Danio rerio: one gene and its partners. The protein of the gene in region 1 purifies or fractionates together with the protein of each later gene. This does not show direct contact. Links are inferred from orthologs where the notes say so. Each region holds a gene or a part of one and is shown in the gene's direction. Other genes may lie near its edges. The genes, in order: vps33a, vps41 and si:ch211-266g18.9.

What was found.
Region 2: the proteins of vps33a (region 1) and vps41 purify together in Homo sapiens (affinity purification with mass spectrometry; 5 studies listed by BioGRID and IntAct, counting the BioPlex papers as one, with this or other methods). This does not show direct contact. The link is inferred for Danio rerio from reciprocal best matches to the Homo sapiens genes VPS33A and VPS41.
Region 3: the proteins of vps33a (region 1) and si:ch211-266g18.9 purify together in Homo sapiens (co-immunoprecipitation; 5 studies listed by BioGRID and IntAct, with this or other methods). This does not show direct contact. The link is inferred for Danio rerio from reciprocal best matches to the Homo sapiens genes VPS33A and TGFBRAP1.

The regions. Positions count from the first base shown.
Region 1 is NC_133180.1:75,638,513-75,642,613, forward strand, and holds the start of vps33a (vacuolar protein sorting-associated protein 33A), read left to right. Parts: upstream 1-1,199; 5' UTR 1,200-1,225; coding exon 1,226-1,327; intron 1,328-1,561; coding exon 1,562-1,627; intron 1,628-3,615; coding exon 3,616-3,743; intron 3,744-4,101. Other genes in the region: aldh2.2 (aldehyde dehydrogenase 2 family member, tandem duplicate 2), read right to left, coding at 1-44.
Region 2 is NC_133199.1:10,269,628-10,273,288, reverse strand, and holds part of vps41 (vacuolar protein sorting-associated protein 41 homolog), read left to right. Parts: intron 1-1,254; coding exon 1,255-1,347; intron 1,348-1,804; coding exon 1,805-1,932; exon of another isoform or gene 1,933-2,462; intron 2,463-3,292; exon of another isoform or gene 3,293-3,661. UniProt on the Homo sapiens protein: Plays a role in vesicle-mediated protein trafficking to lysosomal compartments including the endocytic membrane transport and autophagic pathways. Acts as a component of the HOPS endosomal tethering complex.
Region 3 is NC_133192.1:16,843,416-16,847,076, reverse strand, and holds part of si:ch211-266g18.9 (transforming growth factor-beta receptor-associated protein 1), read left to right. Parts: intron 1-796; coding exon 797-937; intron 938-3,112; coding exon 3,113-3,272; intron 3,273-3,661. UniProt on the Homo sapiens protein: Plays a role in the TGF-beta/activin signaling pathway. It associates with inactive heteromeric TGF-beta and activin receptor complexes, mainly through the type II receptor, and is released upon activation of signaling.

The DNA.
Region 1 (4,101 bases):
CGACAAACTTGAGGGAAAGCTCTGGATAAAACTGTGCGCAGCATTTTCCACTCACTCGTCTTCAGCACTTGAACTGACAATGATCCCTGATCCCCAGAGCAGAAATGCGCTCTTCCTAAACAGAGATGTTGCCAGATATTTGACAGAAATCACGCGTGTAGTCACATGTTTGCGCGACAATTTATTTTTTAAATCAACATTAGTAACCGGGGATACATAAAACACCATTTGTACAAATTTTATGTGACTTGAATACTAATACAGATTCATCATGGTACAGCATAGTAAGCAAATGGTAAATAAGATCAATACATAAAAGAATAACAAGTTAAAAAGAAAATACATTAAAATAATAAAACATACAAATATGAAAACATAAGTAAATTGTTGAAATATTATATAGGTGTACCAAAAAGTATCTACACCAATCAATGATTGTTGTATGTTCCCTTACAAACTACTGTCAATCTGATATCAAGTAAGCAACAATGAGTGGAAAAGGTGGATTTGGCAACAAACTCCGAAAAAGCCTATTTAGGTAAAATATCTTATGGTATATTCTTTAGACTTTGGTAAAAGTCATGATTAATTCAAATAATAATCCAAAATATTACAAACTGCTGCAGTTCAATCTGATATCAAGCAACAAATATTTGTGGAAAAGCTGGATTTGGCAACAAACATCGAAAAAGCCTAAATAGTTAAAATCCCTTAGGCTATATTCTAGAGTCTTTGGCAAAAATCAAGAATTAATCCAAGTAATAATACAAAATATTTCTTTAACTCAACTGATATCAACATATTTTAATTATCACACAAGACACAATCTCTTATATTACAACTTACTATAAGATTACACTAACTGGCTACGCGTTTATTATTGTTATGTTACTTTTTTACAATCTATGCAGGTTTACTACAAAACTACTTAATGGCTTTAAACAATCTAATGCATCTGATTTCAAGCAACTAATATACGTGGAAAGCGTGGATTTGGCAACAAACACTGAAAACGCCTACGTACACGTTGCTATTAATCCAAAATTATTTTGGCTAAACTGAATTTATACTAGATGAAGATATTTTTAAAAATATATATTAATATGTATTTTTGTGTAAGTAATAGATGAAACATAAATGTACATTTACGTGAGCTGATCTTTATTTTGAAAGAAGTATCACGTGAGGTTCTGGCCATAAGTCACATGACTGCGCTTTGGCGAATATGGCGTCACATTTGTTTTGTGGTAGAGTAAACCTAAATATTTTGAGAGAGGCTGCACGAAAAGACCTGCGCGAGTTTTTGGATAAATGTTCGGGAAGCAAGGTAAAGGTTTTCGTTTTAGTAAATGAGTTTATCCGGCTGTCACACTGTTAACTTAGTCAGAGTTTCCTCAAAATGTACTGCCTGTGTAAACACATAACCTGCGCTTGATGGTTGTGATGAAAGATTATTCCTGTAAACATTGTTTACTAATACTGTCAGTCGTGTAACATAGTATATGGAGCTCAATCGTCTTTTAATTAATGTGTTTTCCCTTTTATTATTTCTCCATTAAAGGCCATTGTTTGGGATGAGTATCTAACAGGACCTTTCGGGCTGATTGCTCAGTATTCACTTTTAAAGGTGAGAGATTGTATTCACAGATTGCATATGTTCATATCATATTCATTCAGCATGAAAATTGTATATTAAATATCAAATGTGTATTATTAATCTATATTATATCACTTGTATGTTAAAATACACGACACGCAGACAAATCAAATGGAAACAAATAATGAATAAAGGTTTGGAAAATGTATAAGGTCATAATGTAAACAACTATTGAAGTAATACTGGATTTACATTCGTACATTTAATAAAATAGTGAAGCAGAATTTATAAATGCAAATACAGATTTATAATGACATGCTGTTATTAGCACAAGGTGACGACTTGTGACATGGTGTCTAAATCTTGTTTACCACTCTACATTGAACACTGGGTCTAAATTTGCATGCAAGTATGATTTCCAAACAACATTAGCACTATTTAATTGACTGTGAACAATGTACTTTGATAGTCATTGGCTGCTAATTTGGTTTCCCTGTTTAGAAATGGCAAATAATTATTTTCCGAAAATATATTAAGAAGGTGAAAGTCTGAATGTGTGAATATAAAACCTACTTTACCCTAATAAAAGCTCAATTTATTAAATTTTAATTGTTTATTTTTATTTATTTGATTTGTTTATTTTAGTTTTATTTATTTATTTTTATTTATTCATATTGATTTGATTTGTTTATTTAATTGAATAAATTAATTAATTTATTTTTATTTTTATTTATTTGATTTGTATATTCATTTAATGTTATTTATTTACTTTTATTTATTTTATAAGTTTGTTTAATTTAATTAATTTATTTTTATTTGTTTATTTATTTAATTTTATTTATATTTATTAGATTTTTTTTATTCCATTTTATTTATTTACTTTTGTTTATTTATAGTTATTTGATTTATTTATTTAATTTAATTATTTATTGTTTATTTATTTATTTATATTTGATTTAATGATTTGATTTGTTTTTTTGGTTTTATTTACTTGGTTTTTATTTATATTTATTTGATTTCTTCATTTATTCATTTGTATTTATTTATATTTATTTGATTTGATTATTTAATTTTATTAAATTTATTTATTTATATGTATTTGATTTGTTTATTTTTTAAATTATAATTATTTATTTTGATTCATTCATATTTGATTTGATTATTTGATTTGTTTATTTGGTTTTATTTATTTATTTGATGTGATTTCTTCATTTATTTATTTGATTTGTTTATCTTTATTTATTTACATTGATTTGATTACTTTATTTATTTAATTTTGTGTCTATATATTTTGCTAATGTGATTTCCCTGTTCAGAAATTGCAAATAATTATTTTCTGAAATCACATCAAGAAGGTGAAAGTCTGAATGTTTGACTATAAAACCAACTTTACCCCAATAAAAGCAGTTTTCAAACCAATAACGCAGTTTCGTGACACTGAATAGGTCACATTTAGTGGAATCTTTGCAAAGATTTTCATAAATATAAATGATGTTAGCTGAACATTCACAGTGAATGCAATACAAATTTATCCAAGAGTTGCTATCAATGCAATGTAATGCTACCACAAAACAAAATATACTAACATGAGTGTCTGCAACCCATCAACTATGATTTTTTGAGTCACATTTGAAAGATATATATGCATGTTGTGTATTGTTTGATAAGCTAAGTTTAAAAATGCACTGATTAACATGGTTGAGGTTTTATATTTGCACATTGCTTTTGAGATAACTTGGACATGCTCCCTATATTGTGAAACTTGTGGGTCTGACAACATTAGCACTATTTAATTGACTGTGAACAATGTTGTACTTTGATAATCATTGGCTGCTAATGTGATTTCCCTATTTAGAATTTGCAAAGAATACTTTTCTGAAATTATATTGAGGAGAAAGTCTGAATCTGCGAATATAAAACCAACTTTACCTCAATTTCAACATGGTACCTGTGGGACTTGTTTTTGTTTACTCATTGACATACCCATACTCATTATTGTGCTATTTGTTTTCATAAAGGAACATGAAGTGGAGAAAATGTTCACTCTTAAAGGAGGCCGAATACCATCTGCCGCCGTCAAGAATATTGTCTTCTTTGTTCGCCCGAGGTTGGAGTTAATGGACATCATTGCAGAAAATGTTTCGAGGTAAATCTAAATTCGTTTAGTTACTAAACAGCTCGTCAGATTTTGGCAGAGAAATCAAGAACTTTAGAATTTATACGCTTGTGTCATTCAGGACTTTAGAACCATTATGATTAGTGATTAACAGTTGACTCTTAAGCAAAATACAGAATTAAAAAAAACAATATATCTGTAAAGATTTGCACTTACCTTGTTAACAAACCCAAGCAAGCTAGACGCCAACTAAGGCCTTGCGGTCACAACTTGGCTAAAATTAATTTATGATTAATTTATATTTATTTTATTTGTTTATTGTTATTTTTTTAAATAATGATATTTATTGGATTTTCACTATAATACAGACATAACAACAATTCTTCAA
Region 2 (3,661 bases), on another chromosome or scaffold:
TTTAAACCAGTCTTTCAATATTTTACAAAACAAAAATGTGTTCTGCCTTTTATAAACAGTATAAAAAATAACAAAAAAACATCAGCATGTGGACTTAAAAATACAAAACAACATACAGTGCAACATAAAGAGCAAAATGTACTCTGAAATAGTTAGAGACTTAAGAAATTATGTTCTTTAAACACATTACTTTTGCACTGTGCTTCAGTCCATTAAGTTTGAGAAACTTCACAGGTATATTTAAGTTCCTTGAGGTGCTTCAGAGTCAGATTATATATTTTGTCCATCAGCAGACCACAGCACCTTGAGATATCCATTCCATTTAGGATTCTTATGCCCTCAACTATGATGGTTTCTGTCTTGTAGTTTAATTCCAAAGTAGACCGATCACCAATAATGAATAATTGCCATTACTTGCCTCCTCATTAAGGTCCTCCTCTCTAAGGTCCTTAATGCATCCTCATTAGGTCCTCCTCAAATTCTTGTGTATTCTTGTAAAGCAAGAAAAAAAAACTTTGAGTCAAAAACACTGCTAACATCAACTTCACCAGGAGTAGCCAACACTCTAGTGGAATGGGGAAAATTGATTTGGAAATTAAATAAATTTATCTCTGAGATATCTCAGATATCTCGCCTTAAAATGTCCTATGTGCCAAACAGTCTGCCTAAAACTTGTCCAGACTTGCTTCTTACTTGTTTAGAGGGGAAGGACCTTTGAAATCCAGAACTCCATTTTTGTAGAAAGATTGAATTATCAACCCCATTTCTTTGGGTTGCTTCTAGTTAGATATTGTTTCAAACTAACTGACAGACATATTTACCATTAAATTAGCCGCATTATTTGTTGACGTAATTAGCAATATTTGCCTGTTGTGAAAACTTATTAGTATTACTCTGACAACTTAAAAGTTTTAATCTAATCAGCAATTAAGTTACAACAATGTATTAAACTATGTAGTGGTAACAGACCTCTCGAGTTATTTTTAGAGTGCATAGTAATTTAGTGTCAATTTAAAAATATATTGAATTAATGATGTGAATAATAATATTAATGTGGAAAATATGAATAATAGTCATACTTTGATGTCATTATTATTATTATTAATAGTATTATTATCGTTGTATTGTTATTTAGTATAGATTTTTACTATTATTATTATAATTGTGTAAATGTAGTGCTATTATACTTTTTAAAAGTGTCTATCAACAACTGCTATTTTGTCAACTAACCACTTGCTCCATTATTCCTCTCAGGCCATCAGTCAGTACTTACCGAGAGGAGACTTGCGCCTTCGACCTGCTATTTATGAGATGATCCTTCATGACTTCCTCAAGACTGACTATGAGGTTTGGTTTTCTTCAAAGCATATTTTCGTCAACACTTGAAAATATTGGTTCGTTAGGTAATGTTAGTTAATTTATTTACTAACATAAACAAACTTTTAGTAATGCATGTTGTATGTGGTATAGTATTTATTCATGTTTGTTAATGTTATTTAAGGTAAATAATGCAAGTTCATGTTAGTTTGTTAACAGTGCATTAACTTAGATTTTAATAAGGCATTAGTTAATATTTTATTAAGTGCTTTACAAGATTATTCATGCTTAGTTAATGTTAATAAATACATTAACTATCATTAATTAATGGTCCAATATTCTCAAGTGTTACCATATTTTCTATTATATGAACATCATGGTAATCGATTACCTAAGGCCTAAAAATATGATTGGATGACATCAATATCAGAGTCAAGACAATTCCCTCTTTCTTAGACGTAAAGAAATTAATTGATCTCTCCCCCAGGGTTTTGCCACACTCATTCGTGAGTGGCCTGGAGAGCTGTATAACAACATGGCTATAGTTCAGGCAGTGAATGAACACCTGAAGAAGGACCCCACCAACAGCATTCTCCTCACCACACTCGCAGAGCTGTGAGTGAATGTTGTTAATTCCACATTATAAAGGCTTGTAACATCATTTTTTAGGTTAAAGCTCATGGTAATACTTGCAGGCTCATCACCAATGGGTACTGGGACAGTGCTCCACTAGATAGAACTACACTACTTGATAAAAGTCTTGTCATCGATTCCAGTTGTAAGAGCGACAAATAATAACTCGACTTCTCAGTATGATCAGAAGTTAACAAAAGACTCAATCATTAAGCATTTGGATGGCATATTTTTTAACTGGAATGTGTCTTTCTTGTTTACCTTTAAAATGTGTCTTATTACCAAATAGGACAGCACCAGTCATGTTAAATTTGTCGTCTCCCTCTGTCTTACCTGCGTAGTCATCCTTACCTTTCTAATATTAATCTTTATAAACTAGCCAAAAGGCACGTAATAGCCTTGGTTGAGAAAGCAGCGCACTACAGCATGCAGGCGTGCAATGATAAAACTAGATTGACTGCATTGATTGATTGACTTTGTTGCTTCCCATCTCTGGATTTATTTGATAATAGGCTTCTGAACTAAATTTTTTATAAAAGTTTGAAGTTTGAGAGTGTTTAAACAAGAGAGAAGAGTGTTAAAATGTTAATGCCTGTCTGAGAAAAGAGTATAAAGTATGTAGTGAGGGGTTTCCATCTATAATAATTGTAAAAAAATATAAAGCTGACTACTTCGCAGATATCGGCTATCGTGGGTTATTTTTAGAATGTAACTCGCGTGATAATCAAGGGGCCACTGTATATTGTTATTGTATTGTTGGTGGAACTGTTTAGTATAGTTTAGTATAGGCAGAATTCAGATGAGTTTTTGAGTTTATTTAATTATTTAATTACTTGTCAATAATATAGAACTTTTTGTATAGAACAATGTGTCTCTCTTTACCTACTAAAATGCGTCTTATTACCAAATAGGACAGCACCAATCACGTTAAATTTGTCGTTTCTCTCTGTCTTATCTGCGTAGTCATCATTGCCTTTCTTATAGGAATCTTCATAAACTAGCCATAAGGCGCGTAATAGCCTTGGTTGAGAAAGCAGCGCACTACAGCATGCAAGCGCGCAATGATGAAAATAGATTGACTGCATCAAACGTACATTCAAATTGACAAGAAATAATATAGATTGCACCATCAAACACATAAAAACGAAAGTAACAAGCCCGATTTAAAAATGTTAGAAGTAGAAAGTACAGATATTTGTGTAAAAATTTAAGAAGTAAAAGTAAAAAGTTGTCAAAAAATAAATAGTGGAGTAAAGAACTGATACCAGTAAAATGTACTTTAGTACAGTAACAAAGTATTTGTGCTTTGTTGCTTCCCATCTCTGGATTTATTTAATAATAGGCTACTGGACTTATTTTTCTATGAGAGTTTGAACGTTCAGAGTGTTTAAACAAGAGAGAAAAGTGTGAAAATGTTAATGCCTGTCTGAGAAAAGAGTATAAAGTATGTAGTGAGGGGTTTCCATCTATAATAATTGTAAAAAAAAATAAAGCTGACTACTTCGCAGATTTCGGCTATCGTGGGTTATTTTTAGAACATAACTCCCGCGATAATCAAGGGGCCACTGTATATTGTTATTGTATTGTTGGTGGAACTGTTTAGTATAGTTTAGTATAGGCAGAATTCAGATGAGTTTCTGAGCTTATTTAATTATTTAATTACTTGTCAATAATATAGAACTTTTTGTATAGAACAATGTGTCTCTCTTTA
Region 3 (3,661 bases), on another chromosome or scaffold:
GCTGCACAATATATCATTTGAGCATTGATATCGCAATGTGTCTGTCCGCAATAGTCACATCGCAATGACCAGGAACCACAGGTCAAAACACATGAGATTTGTGGAGACTCTACAGAATTTCAGCATAGTAGAGTGAAAGTTAATCAGTGCGTGTGTTTTAAGGCCTGTGACTGTATAAGAATTTTAAGAGAGAAAGAGAGTTAATCTCTTAAGAGTTTAAAACATTTTAATAGAGCAAAAAGAAGTTTAATAAAGACTTGTTTTATTGAACAGTTTATATGATGAAGACCATGCATTGTTCATCTACATTTGATTATTCAATTTCTGTAATTGAATATTGTAAGACTCTCCCCAGAAAACCATAAATCATTTTATTTCGCTTTATTATTTGCTCCATTGTGTTTATGACTGTATTCTGTTTATTATATGTATATAATAAATTACAAAAAACTAATTTCTCGCTTTCCTATAAAATCATCCCAATCAATCTAAAGTCTTTGCAAAAAGAGTTACCTGTAAGTCATCTGATGAACTGATGAAATTATATAGAAATATAATTATATATCTGGGCCCAATCGAGTAGTATGTCTAAATCCATACTGGAAAAACAACAGTGGGCATGATCGAGTACCTGGATGACCTACTACTGTACTTCCAGCGAGATCCTATATACTGCACCTTTAATATTCAATACATTTTTTTTTTTTTATGATTGCAAAGCTTATTTTTCAGCAGTCATTATATCCTTTTATCACTTCAGAAATTATTCTGATTTGCTGCTTCTCTCCATCAACAGGCTGGTATACTTATCTTCACAAAGACAAATGCAGGCAACCACAATACTTTTGTACCAGAAGAAGTTTTTACCATTCTCAACAGCTACCCAGTCGCTCTGACCCTGTACTTGGAATATTTAGTCAATGAATCACACAGCAAGGTGACTATAAAAGATAGAAATTACATTTACATTGATCTTTGGTCACACTTTATTTTGATAGTCCGTTGGTTAAATTTAAGTTACATTGCATCTACATGATAACTAATTTTCATTAGATTATAAGTAGACTGTTAGGTTGGGCTTAGGGTTAGTGTAAATTGACGTGTTTGCAAAGTTTCTTATAGTCAGTTAAATGTCTGTTAAAGGAGCATATCAACAGATATATAAGCAGACAGTCTACTAATACGTTCAAATGAACCATCAAAACAAAGTGTTACCTAATCTTTTGATATAAAAAAAAAAGTTTTATTCCATAATGTTCTATAGTTTTAATTCTTATAATACTGATTTTTATTTTAGTTTGTATTAGTTTATATTGTATTGTTATATATATATATATTTTTTTTCCTTTTTTTAGTAAATATTTACACTTTATATTTAGGTTTATTAACATTTTGTGTTAGTTTTAATCAATAATGACACTGACAAAAAAAGCATTCATAACCAATCAATTTATAGTACAAAATTAGCTTTTATTTAAAGTAACCTTTGTAGTTTATATTTCTAAAATTTTATTTGAGTTTACCACAACTTCATTACATTTAGTAGCCATATCAACATTTCCAGTTCTTAATTTTCATCTAAAGTCTGTTTTATTTTGAGCCTTTTTCAATTAACATGAACTACCAAGTTTAAATTAACAGTGACCACTGACCACTGAACAGATTTGATCAACTGAGACTCATTAGAAATTCGTGCTTCAGCCTACATTTTTGCAAAATGTTAAATATGTTGCTCCAGGTACGTCTCGCTGCACATTTTAGATGAAAAATCCACTAGAGGGCGCTGTTTACATTTGTTTTGCAAATCTGAAATGTGTTTCTTAGGGTATTGTTATGTTTCAGATACATGTCAAGTTGTTTTTCATTCATTCATTTTCTTTTTAGCTTTATTCATCAGCGGGATTGAACGGCCAACTTAATCAGCATATGTTTTACACAGCGGATACCCTTCCAGCCATAACCCAACACTGGGAAACACACATACACTCTTACATTCACACACATACACTGCAATTAAATTAGTTTTTATTCAATTCACCTATAGCGCATGTATTTGGACTGTGGGGGAAACCGGAGCACCCGGAGGAAACCCCCGCCAACATGGGGAGAACATGCAAACTCCACACAGAAATGCCAACTGACCCAGCCAGGGTTGAAACCAGCAATCTTTTTGTGTGAGGCGATCGTGCTACCCAATGAACCACCATGACGCCTGTTAAGTTGTTTTGTAATATTTAATTAGTTTTCTGCAAAGAACTGCATGAAAATACTACTTTAATCATTGATAATACGTCCCTGTAAATATCATTTGTGTAAAAAAGAACAAAAGATGTTGGCATACTGTTGTTAATTTTATCCAAGAAACTTTTACAAAATGCCTTTACAAAAATGTAGTCTGAAGCAAATATTTCCAATGACCCTGTGTTGGATTTGATACAATCATAACCAAAGGCTTTGTCCTCAGTCCAAAAAGAAGTTGATTGAAACTTTTGTGGTAATTCCATGGCATCTCACCACCACACGACTGTCCACATTTGCACATCACTACCATCAAAAACTTCACCCGGTCATTCACAGTGACTTAATAAGGGGAAACAGGATAAATGCTATTATTTCTAAGCCTCAGGGGACACATTACAGAATCTTAAGTCTTTAATTAAACCTAATTTAGCTTAAATTAAGTTTCAAACAGAAATCACCATAGTTGCCAAACAAATAAAACAAATGAAATGGGATGTTTCAGTCCCAGATAAGATTACGTAAGATTACATTATTACCCAGATAAAAACGTGGACAGTGTAAAGTTTTTCATTAAAAACTAAAACTGTATTACGTGACTTTTCTTGTTCAAAATAAAATAAATATAAGCAAGTATCTTATCTCGAATCACTATGGTAAACTAATGTAACAATTAATGAATCAATTTTTACACAGATATGACACAATAGCGACGACTACTGCCTCTTCATTTAAATCCAAATGTAAAAGAAAAACTACATTTCAATGCAAAAACAATATAAGTTAAAATGTACGCAATAAAAATATAATGTCAGCTTTAAGCCAGTTCACCATCACTTGTCATGGCATTGAATAACCACATGTGTTTTCACAGGAGGAAAAGCACCATACTATGCTTATCACATCATATGTCAAACGAATACTGCGGTCGCTTGCGGATGACCACAACAATGAATCAAGCACAGAGGAGATGAGACATAAACTACAGCAGTTACTGTGGCAGTCCTCCTTCTACAATGCTGATCAAATATATGGTGAGCAAACAAAAAAGATGCAGATAAAGCAGATAAAGACTTTTTAACAGGTTAATACATTTACATTGCTACAAGGAACATGCTAACAAGAGTGTTTCTACAGGTGGTTTGTCAAGCCCACTCACCTGTGTGAAGCACACTTCATAAATGCACAATGTTGTTGCTGTTGTTTTTTTAAATAAGGATTGCTTGTAAGAAAGTGTCTGGTGCAAATCTACAAAACTGGTGCAAGTGTGGGTTAGTGTCAGAGTGATGAAAGAGTGTGTTTTCGACAGGTGGTTTGTCAAGCCCACTCACCTGTATGAGGTACACTCAGAATAGCATGTTTTGAGGTTTTTGTGTGGTGTAAAGTAATATATAATTGTAATATAATAATAATAATAATAATA